Linked DNA regions of Anolis sagrei. The protein of the gene in region 1 interacts with the protein of each later gene in a pairwise test. Links are inferred from orthologs where the notes say so. Each region holds a gene or a part of one and is shown in the gene's direction. Other genes may lie near its edges.

Evidence for each region. The genes of interacting proteins can lie anywhere in the genome.
Region 2: the proteins of glutathione S-transferase A4-like (region 1) and C1H2orf50 interact in binary tests that used the Homo sapiens proteins (3 or more experiments, as listed by UniProt). The two-hybrid records come from large-scale screens. The link is inferred for Anolis sagrei from reciprocal best matches to the Homo sapiens genes GSTA4 and CIMIP5.

Annotation. Positions count from the first base shown.
Region 1 is NC_090021.1:125,498,204-125,508,347, reverse strand, and holds the start of glutathione S-transferase A4-like, read left to right. Parts: upstream 1-6,134; 5' UTR 6,135-6,242; intron 6,243-10,144. Other genes in the region: glutathione S-transferase A4-like, read left to right, coding at 1,985-2,110. UniProt on the Homo sapiens protein: Conjugation of reduced glutathione to a wide number of exogenous and endogenous hydrophobic electrophiles. This isozyme has a high catalytic efficiency with 4-hydroxyalkenals such as 4-hydroxynonenal (4-HNE).
Region 2 is NC_090021.1:129,701,970-129,712,501, reverse strand, and holds the start of C1H2orf50 (uncharacterized protein C2orf50 homolog), read left to right. Parts: upstream 1-5,875; 5' UTR 5,876-6,224; coding exon 6,225-6,490; intron 6,491-8,878; coding exon 8,879-8,918; intron 8,919-9,963; coding exon 9,964-10,155; 3' UTR 10,156-10,532.

The DNA of each region.
Region 1 (10,144 bases):
AGTATTTTCCCTTGTTGTTTTGAAATCCCAGAGTGATAATTTGTCGTTGAGATTGCAATCCGCATTCTCACAAAACAGAACAAACTTCATTCCTGAAGATTTGAGACCTATTCAGCTTTCAGATCACTTTAGCTTTGTAATGTTGAAATTCCTTTTTAGTTTGCAAGCTAAATGTTTTGCCATGAATATTTTATAGCTTTCCTCCTTTTATGCCTTTAAGCCAGTATTTGTGATGTCTCCACAATTAAGAATATTCTGCACAATTAAGAACACCATAGCAGCTGTAAGGAGGGTTTAAAAAATAAAATAGAATGTATATAAAAATTAATAACATTAGTAATTTGATGCACATTTTCCAAATATTCCAGCTACAGATATTGCCAATTAAGAACTGATGCATATGAGAACAAGGAGATATATTAAGGAACTGCAAAAGCACTCTTCTAAAAGCTAGGATTTTCATCTTAGGGCCCTTCCACACAGCCATATAGCCCAGAACATCAAGGTAGAAGATCCCACAATATCTGCTTTGAACTGGGTTATCTGAGTCCACACTGGAATATATTCCAGGTCAAAGCAGATAATGTGGGGTTGTATTTAGCTGTGTGGGAGGGGCCTTAGATGAGAACCAGAAATCATGTTAAATATGATTAACTCATATAATGTTGATGTCGCCTATTACAAGAGTGCATTGTATCCATGTAAGAAAAAAATTACTAAATCAGACCACAGGGGGCCCTTCCACACAGCCCTCTATCCCAGAATATCAAGGCAGAAAATCCCACAATATCTGCTTTGAACTGGGTTATCTGAGTCCTCACCCAGATAATGTGGGATTTTCTGCCTTGATATTCTGGGATAGAGGGCTGTGTGGAATGGTCCAAAGATATTGAGTGCCATCTGGCTTTTGTTGCCTAGGTTCAGATATCATTTAAACTCATTGTTTGCCTTTTAAGGTGCCTGCTGTACTAATTGTCTAGATTTTAATTTAAAAAGACATTTTAAAGTGTCCGATATGTATAGACCATAAAGATATTGAATTGACGTCATCATGGACTATACATGTCGGGTATTTTAACATGTCTTTTAGAAATGCAAATCTGACATGGGAATCTGAGGCCCCTTTCTACACGGCCATATAATCCAGATTATCAAATCAAATAATCCACATTATCTGCTTTGAACTAGGTTATATGAGTCTATACAGCCATATATTCCAGTTCATTTTATGGCAGTATAGATGGGACTTAGGAACTGAAGAAATATGATATGATTGGGTCTCTAGACACCTGTGTATCATGCAAATGTGAGTAGATCAATAGGTACCGTTCCGGCGGGAAGGTAATGCACTCCATGTAGTCATGCTGGCCACATGACCTTGGAGGTGTCTATGGACAACGCTGGCTCTTTGGCTTAGAAGTGGGGATGAGCACCACACCCCAGAGTCGGACACGACTGGACTTAATGTCAGGGAAAAACCTTTACCTTTCCTATACACACACACACACACACACAAATGAACTAGCCAGAGGATTCATATTGGAATCCTAATATTCCTAGTTGGATTCACTCAATCGGTGTTGTAGAAAAGCTGTTGTTTATACGTCTTTGTTATTGGAATTTCCTCATTAACAGAATGAAGATTACCCTTCTCCAGCTTTCATGTTCCCTCCATCTGAGCTGGAATTATCACAGTAACTGGCATAGAAAGCTTAGAAGCAATTCATTGTTTTGAACATTTTTGTTAATGCAAAATATTTTGTATCTGCTTGATTCGAAATGCATGTTTAACATCCAACTGCTTCATAAAAGACCTGCTCCTGACATTGAGAACTGCTACAACAAGTTGATCTGGGTTGATCTGGGTCAGTGTGCCACAATTTCCATACTCGTATGGAAGATGTCGCTATGGAAAATCATTCAAAGTCATCTTAGTATTGACATTTTTAGTTTACTTTTCAGGTTATTTTGTTTCTTGTTTCAGGCCTTTAAAGCAAGGATGTGTGAAGTTCCTACGATTAAGACGTTCCTCCAGCCTGGCAGTCAAAGGAAACCTCCACCTGATGAAAAGTTACTGCAAACAGCAAATAGAGTTTTCAATAGGAAGTAAAAACAGAAGATGTGTTAAAGCCTATTAGAGAAGTAGCGGTTCTGTACATCTCTAAAAATATCTCTTAGCATTGAAGGGTTGCATCTAGATACTAGTTTCCTATGATTTAACTGATAAACATTTATAATAATTGTTAATCCAAACGTTTTTTTCCTCTACAGCTGTGTTTCTCAACCAACCTAATGCCGCCACCCCTTAATAGAGTTCCTCATGTTGTGGTGACCCCCAACCATCAAATTATTTTCATTGTTACTTCATAACTGTAATTCTGCTACTGTTGTGAACTGTAATGTCAATATCTTATATGCAGGATGCATTTTCATTCACTGAACCATATTTGGCGCAAATACCCGATGCGCCCAAATTTGAATACTGGTGGAGTTGGGGGGGGGGGTGATTTTGTCATTTGGGAATTGTAGTTGCTGGGATTTAGAGTTCACCTACAATCAAAGAGCATTCTGAACCCCACCAACGATAGAATTGGGCCAAACTTCCCACGCAGAACACCCATGACCAACAGAAAATACTGGAGGGATTTGGGAGAAATTGACAGTGATTTAGAAGATAACACACCTGCTCTCCCCTCCCTGCTTGGAGCCTCAGAAACACCTAAAGCCCTCCTCCTGCTGTGATTGGCTGAGAGGCTGGCCAATCACCCAGGAGGAGGGCTTTTGGTGTTTCCAAAGAGGAAGAGAAGGACAAGGGGAGAGATCTTCAGCCTTCTCTACCAAAAATAATCAGAAATATATGTTTTATGTTAGTCTTTGGCGACCTCTCTGAAACCCCCCTCGTGACTCCCCCAGGGGTCCCAACCTTAAGTTGAGAAATGCTGCTCTACAGGCTATCCCCAAGCTATGAACAAGATGAGGTCTGTAGCTTTGTTCTTGGGTTAAATTTATAAGCCAGAGCAGGTGCTTTTAAAGGTGTAACTCCATATGTGTGTCTGTGTGTACACATATATACACACATACACATATACAGACACGCACACACTTTGGATAACACAGAGTTGACATCCTTGGGGACTTTTTTTTTTTTGCAGTCTGTCCCCCTGTTCAGAGGATTTCACCTCACTTTCTTTCCCCGTGATAATTGGATTTTAAAATATTTGGCTTGCTATTGGTGAGAAAGCTTCAATGGAGAGAACCTTTCCCCATGATAACTCTTCCAGGAGTGAATTTCCTTCTGAAGGTTAGATTTCTTTCACTTCCTGTCATCTCACTCCTGCTTGTAACTATGCGTCATTTGCAAGTTGGATGTTTGTTACTCGGGGACTGCCTGTGTATAAGAAAACAAACATCCAAATATATATTGGGGAAATACATGAGAAATCTGATAATTAACAATAAAAATGAATAAGAATCAATATTTTGTTTACTGCTCCATGTATATCGGCAGCTCAATTTCTAATATTTTGCTCCAATATAGGTTTGGAATATTAAAGGTGGTTTGTAACAAAAACAAATTCAATTCCTTTTACTTTCAAAAATGCCATTAAAATGTCAAAAATTAGAAGAATAAGAAAACATAAGTACTGTACTATCATAACAAAGAACAATCAAGTACTGAAATACATGGCATGATGAGACACAGATAAGAAACTGGCAAATAATTCAGAAAAATAGATGAATTTTTATATTTTTGTTCTTCTCCATCCAACTGGCATCCATGTTGCACACTTTGCAACACAACATGGATGAATAAGGAATGTGGAGTATGTATACAGCAGCACTTCTATGATATTTTGTTCTCCTCCATACAACTGACATCCATGTTATACACATTGCAACAGAACATGGATGAATAAGGGATGTGGAGTGTAGAGCGGCAGAAAGATTACAACATGCAATTATTTTTCAACCACTAATGCAATGGCCTCACATTGTTTGGGCAACTCGGGTTAACCGTGATAGGTCATGGGTTTTGGTCCTGAGTAGAAGTGCCCTCATTTAATGCAACATTGAACTGAATTATATGAGTCTGCACTGCCATATGATCCAGTTCAATCTCCATTATAAATGCAGTGTGGATGGGGTTGGTGTTTTACTTCTTTCTCTGTAAAATAATTAAAATTTACCCTTTTATATCTTAAAAATATTAAACTTTCCAACCATTGGGATATAAAAACACAAAACATTTGTGTTTTGATATTTCAATTTTTGATATCCCAATGGAACATGAAACAATAATGTTCCAAAAATAGCTCTGCAGAATATCCAACACAAAGAAAAGGCTTATTTGGTTATACAACAAACAAGCAAGCAGAATAGCGCTAGGAAAAAACTGCAAAATTCAATAAATAAAATAAAATAAAATAAATGGTGAATGAAGCAAAAGGAGCGACTTGTGGCAACACAGCTGGAAGTTCTCTCTGTCTAGTCACTGAAAGTTGAAGCTTGAGAAGAGGGAAGTGGAATGGAGAAAAGTTACACTCACTCCACCACATAGATTTACTAAGTACTGTGGCAACAACACTAGTTACTTATTGTACCACTCCTAACACTGGACTTAAGCATCTTCAGAATCCTATTCATGGGTTTCTCTTGTGAATTAAAAGTTACAGCCATACAATGGAGGAAAACTAGGAATGCCACGTGATATTATAAAATAAGCAGCACAATCACATACTGTTAAAACAGTCACTAAAGTGTGCTCCAACCCTCATGCAAAAATATAAAAAAAATACATTTTAAAGATATTTAAGGTAACCATATAATTTTTCAGTTTATTCCTTGCACTATTATGGATTCTCTTTGTGTACAATCATTTCCTCACAACCTCTGAGGATGCCTGCCATAGATGCAGACAAAACATCAGGAGAGAATGCATCGAGAACATGGCCATACAGCCCGAGAAACCTACAACAACCCAGTGATTTCAGCCATGAAAGCCTCCGACAATACATTTCCTTACAGTTTAAAAGACATCCAAGATTTTTTTTTGCAATTACTATTTAAGACTCCAGCTATATTTACCAAAGTGCTGGCAATGTTGATTTGTTAACTTGGATTGTCACTTACAGGAATCCTCAGAGTACTGTTGGTCACTGCACTGCAAAACAAAGTATGGCAACATATCCTAATGGGAAAAGGTTGAGAATGGTAAAACCCATGTTTCTTAGGCCATCCATATTTATTATGCTGGAAGGAATAGAGAGATTTACATGTACTTGGGAAACTCAAAAGTGTGTTACTGTGCTACTGTGAAGTAGTAGCATTAAAACACTAAATGGTGGATTCTCATGAGAAGGACCCAAATCTTAAAATCACCTAATTCTTCTCGTTAAACAGGTGGGGAATATGGCTAAAATGGGACAATATACGAGTTTAGAAGATGGTCTATGAGATGGTGTGCTAAACAGAAGGCATGATCTGCATTTTGAAGGCATTCTTAGATGGATCTTGTGATAAGAACTATGTAGGCATGTTTTCCTTTCATCTAAGACAGGTTTGGTCATCCCTGAACACACTTTTAGACACACTTTTAGACCACCTTCAGGTTATCTGGGAATGGTAGCTATCAGACCATGGCATCTGATACATTAGCCAAAGAAAGCCCTCCTTCCATTATATCCCAAAAACTTTTCCCAACCCGCAACCTCCCATGCAAAGTGGAGTCCATGACATGCAAGTGCGGAGAAGAGCAAACTACTGTAGTGCAACCTGAGCCCTGCAAGATACACAATGGAGGACCTTCTTACAGCGACACCAGAGGCACTCCAAGTGGCCAGTTTCTGGTTAAAGGACATTTAGCATAATGTCAAGTTCTTAACTTTGTTTGTGGTTTTTTTTTTTAAATACATTATAACTGTATTCTCAATTCTGTTCTGACAAGATAAATAACTCCATGAAAAATTGACGGTTTTACACAATAGCTTTCACCAAATTCACGATTGACTGTTTTACTACATGTCCAAGGGTCTGTTATAGTACATTTTCCTTTAAATATTAGTAAGCCCAGCCATTTCAAATGCAAAAAACAGGTTTGAAAAATACATAAGCCAGACAGGGAAGACAGTCAGAGGGAGAGGTAGTCGGAGTCTTCCCCAAAGTAGGTGGAGTTTCCTGCATTACAAAAGTCTGAGGCACTGTTCTTGCAGACACGAGGGAAGGTATCTTGAGCCTTGCAGAAGGTAAGTATGGCAGAACAGATATTTTCTTCAACCACTAAATGCTTTGAATTCTGCTGGTGTAGGAAGAACGGATTAAATATAAACAAAACTGCTGGTCACAACAGAAACAATATATAATTTTTGCTGATTTAAGGTTTACAATCCTTGCTGTGTATTTGTAGATCTTTGACAGATGAAAGAAGATCATCTGTGAAAGATCTACAAATACACCGCATGTCAAAGCCAGCCAAGTAGGCAGAAGGCATAGAGTTGATTTGCCAAGGCAAAGGAATGCATGTACAAATTTTGGAACGTAAAAGATTAAAATATACTTAAATGTACTTAGATATATTGGAGAAGGGGTGAAATGTACTTTAGACTGCCATTCTTTGCTTTGAATCTCTTTGAATAGATTAAATACTTTTTCTCCTGCTGTAACTGTGAATTGTGTGTGTTGGGCAGGGAGTTCCGGTCTTCTGTATTCCAAACAACATTGCTTTGTACGAAAAGAATATTGTGAGAGTTTATCACAATTTATTAGAAAGTGCTGGGGGGAAAACATGTGGAATACAGTAATTTTTTTAAAAAAAAGAATATATATTTTCAGGCTTAAATGTCATACATTCAAGTAGGAAAGTACCACTGAAATCAACAGGTCTTATTTCTGAATAGGCATGTCTCCTGATGCATGTACACAGTACAATTAATGCAGTTCAACATCACTTTGGAAACCCAGTGGCACAATGGGTTAAACCCTTGTGCCAGCAGGACTGTTGACTGACAGGTCAGCAGTTCGAATCCAGGGACAGTGAGTTGAGCTCCCTCTGTCAGCTCCATCTCCCCATGCAGGGACATGGGAGAAGCCTCCCACAAGGATGATAAAACATCAAAACATCCGGGCGTCCCCTAGGCAACATCCTTGCAGACAGCCAGTTCTCTCGCTCCAGAAGCAACTTGCAGTTTCTCAAGTCGCTCCTGACACGAAAAAAAATCATTTTAATTGTCATGGCTCAATGCTATGGGATTTGTAGTTTGGTGAGAAATTAGGACAATGATAGCAAACTGCATTAATTCTGCAGTATAGAATCAGCTTAGGATTGCATGGAAAGTCTGCAATTCTCAGACCAGAGAGCAACTTGGTTTTTCTAGACAAAAAATTCAATAAACAGGTATCAGTTCTCTATGGGAAGAGACTTTCCTTGGAGTAGGCATAATGGGAGTTACTTCTAAACAAACATACTTTTGACTGTTTGCTTAAAATGTTAGCTGTTCTACATATGCTTAATGCAGCAGCGTATGTTTAAGATGAGACAAGAGTGTAGTATCTGCATTAGGATGATAAGCCTATCAGTCAGTACAGATGCTGCGGACAGCTTCTCCTTAAAGCTTCTTACTTGGAGTCAATCTAAGACAACATAACCTTTGGCTGTTCAAATATTCTTAACTTTTTTGTAAATAAAAATGAAGGACATCATGGTGTGGATTCCTCAGACATCCATATATTCTTGGCAGAGTTAGAAGCAGCGGGATGAAATGCAGAATGGTTACAATCCAGTGAACATTCTCTTGATAGTTACGTAGATTACACAAGATGTGTTTGGTCTAAGTAATCTTGAGCATGAAGCAATGGTGGCATCAGTTTCCTGTTTCAATGGTGAAGGTCTGTATTAAATCATAGGAAACAGTTCTGCATGTAAACTGTTCCTGTGTAGTTTTGCCACTCATTTTATTATTTCTTTTGCAAAGTTATTAATATAGGTATATCAGAACTGTGCCAGTGCTTCGACACACTGATCATGGTTAGAAGTATACCATAGAGTCCATCTACACAGTAGAATTAATGCAGTTTGACATCACTTTTTACTACCATGGCTCAATACTATGGAATGCTGGGAGTTGTAGTTTTCTAAGGCATTTAGCTGATTCTGCAAAGAGTGCTGGTACCTTAGCAAGCTACAACTCCCAGTATTCCATAGCATTGATCCATGGCAGTAGGAGCCATGGTGGCACAATGAGTTAAACCCTTGAGCCGGCTGACCTGCTGACCTGAAGGCTGGCAGTTCGAATCCGCAAAACATGGTGAGCTCCCATCTGTCAGCTCCAGCTTCCCATGAGAGAAGCCACCCATGAGAGAAGTCACCCACAGGATGGTAACATATCCAGGCATCCTCTGGGCAACGTCTCTGCAGACGGCCAATTCTCTCACCCCAGAAGTGACTTGCAGTTTCTCAAGTCGCTTCTGAAACAATTTTTAAAAATCCATGGCAGTTAAAGTGGTATAGAATTAGTATGGCTTCCATAGTCTTTTTCATACAGTTATAGATTTGTGCTGGACTGCTTTCCCCTGAACCCTCCTAGGGTTTTAAAAACCTATGGTCTTTTTAACCAAAATGCAACAAATTGTCTAAATCTGTATCAAATATCTTGCAGAACTTCAAGATATTTTGTTCTGAATTTGAGTCTCTACCTGCATTACATCATAGAAGATCGCTTCATTTTGTTCGTTCCTTACCGTAATATTTAATATAATAATAATACAATTATTTAACAGAAATACTAGTGTCAAAATAAGTAGTGCCCGAGTCTGTAGAATCATAGAATAATAGTCAGAAGAGGTTGCATGGGCCATCCAGTCCAACCCACTGCCATGCAGGAAAAGCACAACCAAAGTGCCCCTAACGAACGGCCATTTGGCCTCTGTTTAAAAGCCTCCAAGGAAGGAGCTGCCACCACACTCCAGGGCAGAGAGTTCCACTGCTGAACAGCTTTCAGAGTTAGGAAGTTCTTCCTAATGTTCAGAAGGAATTTCCTTGCCTGTAGTTTGAAGCCATTGTTCCGCATCCTAGTCTCCAGGGCAGCAGAAAGCAAACCTGCTCCCTCTTCCTTATGTCATACTTTCAAGCATTGAAACATGGTTACCACACCTCCTCTCAACCTTCTCTTCTGTAGGCTAAACATACCCAGCTCTTTAAAACGCTCCTCATAGGGCATGGTCTGTAGAAGTGGGAGAGACTTTGTGCACTGTCAAGATGTTTATGGAACAACTCAGTCACAGCAACATCATTAATCTCTCCATTTTTGAGGACAATGTTGGGCTTAGATCACCTTTTCATGATGGGATTAGACTATGCTTTCACCCAGGCTTTGAATGCTAGCACTTATGAGTCAACTAGGGTTTGTGCCCTTATCTCATAGCCACACCCATATAACTCCTCTCCCCGCTTTTTTGGATCAACTATTGCCACAAGAAAGCATGATGATGTGGTTAACGTTTAGCAATTTCAGGCAATACACCATTTACCAGTTTTATATTGTGACTGTGGGCACTTTCAACCAACCACTTCTCAAAAGGAAACAGGGCTAGCAAACCAGAATACAAGTGGCGAAGATGAATGAAGAAAGAGACATAAATTGTGTATGTCCCATGAGATCCTTTAATTGGCCATGGCTTATTAGCATAAGACTACAAAATTTATTTATTTATTTATTTACAGCTTTTATATTCTGCCCTTCTCATCCTGCAGGGGACTCAGGGCGGATTACAGTGTACACATATACGGCAAACATTCAATGCCAATTTTTGACATACAAACATATACAGACATAGACAGAGGCTATTTAACTTTTTCTGGCCGCCAGGGGAGCCAAAACCACAAATATTCTTAGAAACAACATGTAGCAAGCACAACCCAGTTCCAATCTGCCAATCCATAAGATTTCAATAGATATACAGTTGTCCATCCACATTTGTGGTTTTGACTTTTGAGGATTTGATTATTTACATATTTTATTAAATCTGTCTAGGAATCTCTAGGTCCTCCAATGTTACTCTATTGTCAATGTTCTCCAGGAGGAGTAGAGATTTCCAGAGAGAACACCAATATAGGACTTTCGAGGTCCTCCAGTAATAATAATAATAATAA
Region 2 (10,532 bases), about 4.2 Mb from region 1:
AAAAAAAAACATTTAAGGTTAGGGTAAAGGTTTCCTCTGACATTAAGCCTAGTCATATCTGACTCTTGGGGGTGGTGCTAATCTCCATTTCTAAGCCGAAGAGCCAGCGTTGTCTGTAGACTCCTCCAAGGTCATGTGGCCGGCATGACAGCATGGACCACCATTACCTCCCCTCTGGAGCAGTACCCATTGATCTACTCACATTTGCATGTTGTTGAACTGCTAGGTTGGCAGAAGCTGGGGCCAAAACAGGGAGCTCACCCCGCTCCCCAGATTCAAACCGCCAGCCTTTCGGTCAGCAAATTCAGCAGCTCAGCAATTTAACTCGCTGTGCCACCAGGGGGCTCTAAAATAACATTTATTTTAAATGTTCTTCTAAAACCAATAATATTTTAAAATCCCACTTCACCTGATATTAAAGAAATCGCAAAGAAGATTCCCTGATGTGTTTTCTGAGAAAACTATTCCAAAAAAGGATGCCAATAATGAAAATACAGTCTTCCCCAGTAACTATTCACCACTTTGTGGTGTCATCCATAGACACAGGAAAAGAACAGTGTCCCCCCCTAAAAGAATCAAAAGGATAATCCGATTTCCACATGATGTATCAGAAGGACAGTTTCCATAACACCTTTTAAAGGCATGAAATAGTTTAAGACGGCACGCTCAAGTGATGCTATGATCTTGTGAGGTAAACGGCACAGCTGATTGCTCTAATCAAGGATAGGGAAGGTATGGCCTCCGGATATAGCTGTACTCCAATCCCATTGTCCATTACTATTGGCTATACTGGATAGGGCCGATGGGAACTGCACTGTAGTAACATATGGAGGGCCATGTACTCCCCAATCCTACTTTTATTTTGCTTTAGACATACTTTATTCACATGCAATTTGATAATAATGCCTATTAAGGGCATTAAATATTTATACAATAATATATATGGGTTCCTGAGTGAAATGTATATAACAAAAATACCACTTGTATAACATAAACAATGATATAATTCAACAACAGTATATAAACATGCTGCACTGTTAACCTCACAGTGACAACAAACAGTATGGTGCAAACTTTTAGTACAGTCGTATTTTCTTATAAGTAGCTTGAGTAACAGCCTACCACAATTCAACAACAATATATATACATGCTGCACTGTTAACCCCACAGCTACAACAAACAATGTGGTGCAAACTTTTAGTACAGTCGTGTCGTCTTATAAGTAGCTTGTGGGACAGCCGACCACGACCGGTTTCGGCCTACCTCAGGCCTTCCTCTGGTGGAAAAATTTTGCACATGAAAGTATGTTCTCCACGGGAGATACAAATCTTTTTGGGTTGGTATGAGATACTCTGCTTTGAGTTTAGTTCTGGCTGCGAGTATGCCAGAACTAAACTCAAAGCAGAGTATCTCAGTCTACTGGGAGGAGGCTGATAGCCATACAGTGGGTAGCTTTCACAATGTTTAACCTTATTTCTCTTGCAATTGGCAGCAACTTCCCATTGTACATGGGGGTGGGGGGGGGGATGCCAGCTAGATTATAGAGTCTATCAATAGGTGTAATCCTGTGATTATTCTACATGTTTCATAACAGTGACAAATGTAAGATACAACCATGACAAATACAAGATACTCCACTTAGGCAGAAAAAACAAAATGCAAAGATACAGAATGGGGGACGCGTGGATCGGGAGCAGTACACGTGAAAAAGATCTTGGAGTCCTTGTGGACAACAAGTTAAACATGAGCCAACAATGTAACACTGCAGCTAAAAAAGCCAATGGGATTTTGGCCTGCATAAATAGGAGTATAGTGTCTAGAGCAGGGGTCCTCAAACTAAGGCCCGGAGGCCGGATGCAGCCCTCCAAGGTCATTTACCCGGCCCTTGCTCAGGGTCAATCTAAGTCTGAAACAACTTGAAAGAACATAACAACAACAACAATCCTATCTCATCAGCCAAAAGCAGGCCCACATTTCCCATTGAAATACTAATAAGTTTATATTTATTAACATTGATCCTCATTTTAATTATTGTATTGTTTTAAAGTGTTTATTACACTACAAATAAGATATGTGCAGCGTGCACAGGAATTCATGTTTTATTTTTCAAATTATAATCCGGCCCTCCAACAGTTTGAGGCACTGTGACCTGGCCCTCTGCTTAAAAAGTTTGTGGACCCCTGGTCTAGATCCAGGGAAGTCATGCTACCCCTCTATTTTGCCATGGTCAGACCACACCTGAAATACTGTGTCCAATTATGGGCACCACAATTGAAGAGAGATATTGACAAGCTGGAATGTGTCCAGAGGAGGGTGACTAAAATGATCAAGCGTCTGGAGAACAAGCCTTATTAGGAGCAGTTTAAAGAGCTGGGCATGTTTAGCTTGCAGAAGAGAAGACTGAGAGGAGATATGATAGCCATGTATAAATATGTGAGAGGAAGTCATAGGGAGGAGGGAGCAAGCCTGTTTTCTGCTGCTCTGGAGAATAGGACGAGGAACAATGGCTTCAAACTACAAGAAAGGAGGTTTCACCTGAACCTCCTGACTGAGAGGTGTTCAGCAGTGGAACTCTCTACCCCGGAGTTTGGTGGAGACTTTTAAACAGAGGCTGGATGGCAATTTTCCTGCTTCTTGGTAGAAGGTTGGACTGGATGGCTCACGGGGTCTCTTCCAACTCTATGATTCTATGTTCTGTGAATAATTCAGTGCTATATTCACCTGCTTTGCGTTGGCAGATTCATACCAGACGGGGCAGGCATACTCAGCAATTGAGTAAGACAAGGCCAGGGCTGATGTTCCTATTAATTTTGGGTCTGCACCCCATGCGCTATCAGTAAGTTTCCTCAGGATGTTATTGTGTGCAGCTACTTTGTGTTCTCATAATGTGTCTTGAATGTTAGTGTTCCAACTAAGTAGACACCAAGATATTTAGGGTGGGAATGAGGGTGAGACAACAGAAAGAGAGAAATCTACCCTCGGAAGGAAAATTCACTCCTGAAGGACTTATTATGGGGGAAAAGGTTTCTCCACTGAAGCTTTAGCATAAATAATTGTTTCTACAACATGCCAAATTTTTCAAAATCCAATTTTCACAGGGAAAGAAAGTGAGGCAAAATCCTCTGAAGAGGAGCATAGATAGCAAAACTAACACCATAGGGGTGCTAACCCTTCCTTAAGCTATCTAGAGCTAAAAGACATATATATTTGGCTGGAGTTACACTTAAAATGTACCTGTTCCAACTTACATACAAATACAACTTATGTAGAAACCTACAGAACCAATCTTGTTCTTAACTTGGGGACTGCCTGTATCTTTGAATTGCATACTTTGCCTTATAGTACCCCCTCGTGGCTAAGATCTGCTTAGTGGGTAAAATAAAAGAAACCAACATTTACCGATATTTCCATTTTGCTTAGGTGTTCCTTTTCATTGATCTTCTGAGAAACGGAGCATGTACTACAAGTGTTTCCATTTTATATGGTAGTTCACTGTATTGAGTGAAAAGGTTTTAACTGTTTACTTAAAGTAATTGCAAACAAACTCCAAAAACATTTTCTGATTCTGCTATTCATCACCGTTCATGTACCATTTTATGCATTAGACACATGTCATGTGTTCTCTTTCTAACAAACTTAACTACAAAATTGTTGTCATTATTTGGTTAACTTGACTTCGAATTATGGTGACATTATGATTGAGAGATATTTAAGACATCCTGTCATGTGCTCAGGTCTTGCAAATTTAGGGATGTGGCTTCCTTGATTGATTGAATGAATGAATGAATCTATCAGTAATGTTGTCTTCTTGTTTCCTACCCCTTTCCACTTTATGGAACATAATTGTCCTTTTAAAAAAATCGACATAGATGAGATCCAATAAATTTTTGACCTGCTTTGTTTCAGTGCCTTTGGCAAGTACTGGTCAAATAAATTTAGTAAAGTGAGCCTTAAAAAGAACATATTATAAAAATCAGAATACAAAACTAATGTGCTATAATCTCCCTTCTATATTATAAAATGAAGATGAAAGTACAGCTCTGTTTCAAGCCTCCGGTCCAAAATAGGCAACACAAAGTCTGAAGGCTGCCCCGACCTGATTAGCAATCGTCGCCGCCTTTTCTACTGCCAAATATTTATTTATTTATTTATTTCCAACATTTGTACCTCGTCCTTCTCAAGACCCGAAGGGGGACTCAGGGTGGCTTACAACGGCAAAAATTCGATGCCCACACATACAGAATACATACACAATATATCACAACATTACACATTAAATACAACCATTAAGTTAAAATCAATTTAAAAACATTATTAACAACTATGTAGCCAAATCCAAGCCAATTCAGCGTCCCAAGACTTTGTCAGAGCCTGTCCATTGTCAGTTCACATAAACATTGCAATCGCTATCAAGCCTGCTCCACAAATGCCTGGCCCCAGAACCATGATTTAAGCTTCTTCCTGAAGGAGAGGAGGGATGGAGCTGACCTGATCTCCCTGGGGAAGGTGTTCCAGAGGTGGGAGGGCCACCACTGAGAAGGCTCTGTCTCTCGTCTCACCAAACACATTTGCGAAGAAGGTGGGACCGAGAGCAGAGCTTCCCTGGACGATCTTGAAGTCTGAGGCAGGGCGTAGAGGGAGATTCGTTCAGACAAGTAAGCTGAGCCAGAACCATATAGGGCTTTATAGGTCAAGACCAGCACTTTGAATTGTGTTCGGAAATGGACCGGCAGCCAGTGGAGCTGACACAACAGGGGGGGTGGTATGCTCCTTGTATGTCACTCCAGTTAGTAATCTGGCTGCCGCCTGTTGGACTAGTTGGAGTTTCTGAACAGTCTTTAAAGGCAACCCCACATAGAAAGGGCCAAGGCAGTGACATCTCCGGCCTATCCCTGTTCGGATATCAGCCAGCACACCAATGCCTTAAATTAAGAAATACCTTTCTAAGATCTCAGGAAATACTCGCAGGAATACTCAGCAAGCGAGAGCCCAAAAGTGGCAGGCTAAAACCCAGAACCTCAATCCATGGCTGATACGAAATGGGAAAGCCCTCCTGGACAAACAGAAGACTGGGTGACTTGGAAGGTTGTGAACAGATTGTGCTCTGGCACCACAAGATGCAGAACCAACCTTAAGAAATGGAGCCACAAAGTGGAGTCCACAACATGCAAGACCACCTGTTACAATGCAGCCTGAGCCCTGCCACGTGCACAATGGAGAACTTCTTATAGCAACACCAGAGGCACTCCAAGTGGCCAGCTACTGGTCAAAGGATATTTAATATGCCAAGTTTTTTAAAAACTCTGTGGTTTTTGAAATACATTACAACTGTACCCTTAGTTCGCTCCTGATAGGATAAATAAATAGTTCAAATCCCCACAGGGTCACGGAAGCCCATAGATGACCTTGGCCAATTCACACTCAACTTCAGAGGGAAGCAAAGACAAACTCCTTCGGATAAATTTTACCAAGAAATTTTGTAATATGTTAGCCTTAGGGTCTCCATAAGTTGGAAACTATGTGAATTCACACAACAAAAACAACATCTATTTTTAAAAATCCCAACACACTCAAAGCCTAGCCTCCAGCAGCTGTGTTTCTCGGGTACATCCTACCTTCTGTCTGTGATGAATATTCATGACAAAGCCTGTCTGGTTTCCAATGGAGACAGTAAACACACACCAGGAAAGCCTGAACTCTCTTGAGTGTTTTGTTTCAGCTCCGCAAGCAGAAGGAAAGCCGGCTGTAGTACTACCTACAACAACAGACTCTTGTTACACTTGCAGTGGGTAGACTGGGAACTCCTATAGCGATGTTGCCATTAGAAAGCACACATCTTTGTAGCATGTCTTTCAGAGACTGAAGTGCAAAACACAATAAAAAAACTGCTAACTTAAGCCTTTCAAAATAACTTTCTGGCTTAAATAGACACATACTCAATTTACTACCCTATAACTTACCTCCATGCATTGTACAAACTCATTCACCTAACAAAATAATGTTGGGCTAACCAATTTTGCATGTGACCCAAACTTATGCAAGAAATTGCTAGATCTTATCATGTGGTTGGTAGAAATATTGCTTATTGGATACTGGGGCTTTCTTTATACTTCTTGAACAAGATTTCTGTATGTAATCAACAACCTTAGAGAAAATGTTGGGCAAGACCACTGTGAATTTTTAGAGTCTTGCTAGCTCCTAATAGTGGAGAAAACACATAGAAGATGGGGAGTAGAGCAAATGGACTCAGGAGAAGTACATCAGCAGGGCACCGATCTCCAGCTACCAGCCCTGGGAGGGTTTTAACGTCATCTTCATCTCCTTCACTGAACAGCAACCAGTCTGGAAATACTCTTCTTGCCACCACACAGAGCTCGGGGAAACCATCCAGCAAAAGCCAGGGAGAAGAGAAAGGTCCTCTGGATCAGGTTCGACAAGACAAGGTTTGGAGAGAGTTTGTGGAGGCTGAAAGAAGGACAACCAAATATTGGTGAGTAACTCAGCACTATTTTTAAATTCTGCATTTTAGCACAAGAGTATTTCAATAACTGATTTAGTCACACATGTGCCGTGGTAATCTACAAGCTGTGACATCTATTTGTCGTCTTAATTCATAGACATTTCTCTTATGTTATCTTGTTCCTATGTTAACACTATCTCCATGTAGAAGGGGGCAATGATCTTACACAGATGGAGACAGAAGATAGATCTGAATTGTGTGCCAGGAGATCATTTGCAGATTAACAGTGATTTCGGATTCCCACTTATCCAACAACAACAAAAAATCATCTCCCTGTCCATACAATAAAACCTCTGTATCAACAGGGAATACATTCCCAGACTTTGTGTGGATATGTATGAGACAATGGATAATGGTGAATCGAATTGAAATGAAGGACCACCAGCCCAAGATCACAGAGGAAACAGAAAATGTCTAGAGATGACATATTTTGTCAGATGTGCATAAAGGAAATTGAGAATACTGAGAATACTGTGAGATCATATTATATATCATATTATGGAGGTCATACTGTATATCAGATTAGGCTGTGCAAAACATTGTTGTATTATTGTAAATGCATACTTCAAGTGCCAGTCAGCTCATGTAATAATAATAATAATAATAATAATAATAATAATAATAATAATAAGGCGGCTCTGGCATAAGCCAGTACAGGTGGTCCCAGTGGTGATCGGCACACTGGGTGCTGTGCCAAAAGACCTCAGCTGGCATTTGGAAACAATAAACATTGAGAAAATCGCGATCTGTCAACTGCAAAAGGCCACCTTACTTGGATCTGGCCACATCATTCGAAAATACTTCACACAGTCCTAGACACTTGGGAAGTGTTCGACTTGTGATTTTGTGATACGAAATCCAGCATATAGATCTCATTTGCTGTGACATGCTGTGGTTTTGTGTCAGTAAAATAATAATAATAATAATAATAATAATAATAATAATAATAATAATACTTTATTTATATTCCATCCTATCTCCCCAAGGGGAGTCAGGGTGGATTCCAATGACAAAAAGGCAAAACATTCAACAATAAATACAAAACAATACCGGCTATCCAGGAACCAGCATGGACAAACCCACATGTGCCAAATTAAACTCACATATAGACCAAATTATAGCATACAGTCTAAACTTAATTAAATTATATCTAGCATATGGCTTATGGGTTGTAGTAAGTAAATTACTCTACCGACTTCTGATTCCTCTCCCAGCTACCACATTGACCCTATTGTTTTGTACCTGGCTTTGGTCAGCAGATGTTGGAAACATGATAGAATCATAGAATCATAGAATCAAAGAGTTGGAAGAGACCTCATGGGCCATCCAGTCCAACCCCCTGCCAAGAAGCAGGAATATTGCATTCAAATCACCCCTGACAGGTGGCCATCCAGCCTCTGTTTAAAAGCTTCCAAAGAAGGAGCCTCCATCACACTCTGGGGCAGAGAGTTCCACTGCTGAACGGCTCTCACAGTCAGGAAGTTCTTCCTCTTGTTCAGATGGAATCTCCTCTCTTGTAGTTTGAAGCCATTGTTCCGCGTCCTAGTCTCCAAGGAAGCAGAAAACAAGCTTGCTCCCTCCTCCCTGTGGCTTCGCCTCACATATTTATACATGGGTATCATATCTCCTCTCAGCCTTCTCTTCTTCAGGCTAAACATGCCCAGCTCCTTAAGCCGCTCCTCATAGGGCTTGTTCTCCAGACCTTTGACCATTTTAGTCGCCCTTCTCTGGACACATTCCAGCTTGTCAATATCTCTCTTGAATTGTGGTGCCCAGAATTGGACACAATATTCCAGGTGTGGCCTAACCAAAGTGGAATAGAGGGGTAGCATTACTTCCCTAGATCTAGACACTATGCTCTCGGTGCAGAACATAGTCTTGATTCTTGCAGGGCAATAGTGAAGTCTTGCTGTGACCTCTGGAAACAAGTGTTGGAAAATACTTCAGTGTCTTTTGTCACTATTAAACACATTGATGGCAAATGCCCTGCGCTATACTCCCTTCTCAGTTATGATGTGAGAGCACCTATGCCAGGCATATAGCCTTCATCTGCAGGAGACTCTCTACATTCATGAAGAACTGCACTCTCTATCAAATTAGATGGAAAATCATTTGTGGGTGTGAATTATTTCCACACCTGCTGGGTCACCAAGGCATTTCTACATTGCATTCAGTGGGACTTACTCTCAAATAAGGGTAAACAGTATTTGTAGTCTCCGTTGCTCATTCTGTGGTGTATGGTAATGACAGCAGAAGTTGACTTTAAACATACGTATTTATTTGTTTTGGATACTTTAAAGGCCACTTTAATTTCTGCATGTTTCATACCAACTTAAGATGCTTTTTTTTATCCTGAAGGTATCAGAACTGGAGTTTTCTAAAGGATTATGATCCAATGGTAAGTTATAGATTTGCTTGTTAGAAAACACTGATTGAACATCTCCAATCTGGAATTCCAAAACACTCCAAAATCTGAAATTGTCCAACTAAGTGGCTGAGACAGGGACACTTTTATTTTCTGATAATTCTATGCACACAAACTTTGTTTCATGCACAGAATTATTCAAATATTGTGTATACCTTCAAGCTATGTGTGTCAGGTGCACATGAAACATCAATAATTTTCTATTTAATCCCATTTCCAAGATATCTCATAATATACAGGGTTAGTCAAAATGCATAGGCCAATAAGCCATTCAATTGAATGGCTTATTGGCCTATGCATTTTGACTAACCCTGTATATACATATATTTGGCCTACCCCCTGGAAATCAATTTTTCTAGATCTTCTCTTCTTTCTTTTATGCTTTCACCGCCACCTTACAGTTATTCATTGCCCCAAAATGCACCTGTGGCCATTACCATGCCACCCCGATCGCTGCAGTGCCCAACAGCAGGCGGTAACGCCCACTTTGGGAATCACTGTTCTATTTTATTATTTAAAGATACTGTTTTCCTAATTGCTAGTTGCCTGAAGCAAACAACAGCACATAATTGCCACCATTTGTGTGAATTTCTAAGGGTTCACCTACACTGTTGAATGAATGCAGTTTGACACTACTTTAATTGCAGAGATTTAATGCTGAGGCTAAAGAATGCTGTGCCTCATCAAACCACAAATCCCACTCTACAGTGTAGGTGCCTCCATCTGGTCACTGCTAAATACGAAATCCTGTTGAATTCCTCAAGGTTTGAGAATGTTACTAGCCATGTTGACTGAAACGTTCTAGGAATACTGCCATATAAAATCCAGATTATCTGCTTTGAACTGGATTATATGGCTGTGTAGACTTATATAATCTAGTTCAAAGCAGATAATATGGATTATTTTCTTGATAATCTGGATTATATAGCAGTGTAGAAGGGATCATAATTTCCACCCCCACCCCAATTAGTTCTAGAGCTAGATATCTAGATAACTTGTCATTTCTCTTTTTTTCCAGGGCAGGAAAAAGGAGCCTGAACCACTCCCTGAATATGTGTCAGTATTTTCAGACAAAATTCCTAACACCACCAGCCATATGGTTGGCAGCAGAATGAATACTGATCTTGGTAAAACATTGGTTAAAATGGATTTCTTCCTCAGCTATGGAAGAAGGAAAAAGAAACTTGAACAGGAACTCCAGGCTTCCTAGAATTAAAAAGCAACATTTTTGTTTTGAAAAGAATATACTGCTCACTTTGCAAATGATAAAATATGACAATATTGGCAAAATTACATTGTTTTCCTTCAAATGCCAAATTTATTGACACTGGCCAATAAAAGTACAAGGTTTCTAGTAATCAAAAACTTACTCCAAACTTAGCTAATATGATCCTGGGAAGACGAGTATGAGAGCCCGTCCAGACAGTACCTTTATCCCAGGAGCTTCCGCAGCAAACAGGAGGGCAGCCGGATGTGGTTCCCTATAAACACTGAAGCAATCACTACAAAAGGCAAAAAACGCGAGATTTCCCGGTGCAGGAGTATTGTGGTTTTGAGCCAAATATGCAGATTTTCTCATGTCTGTAT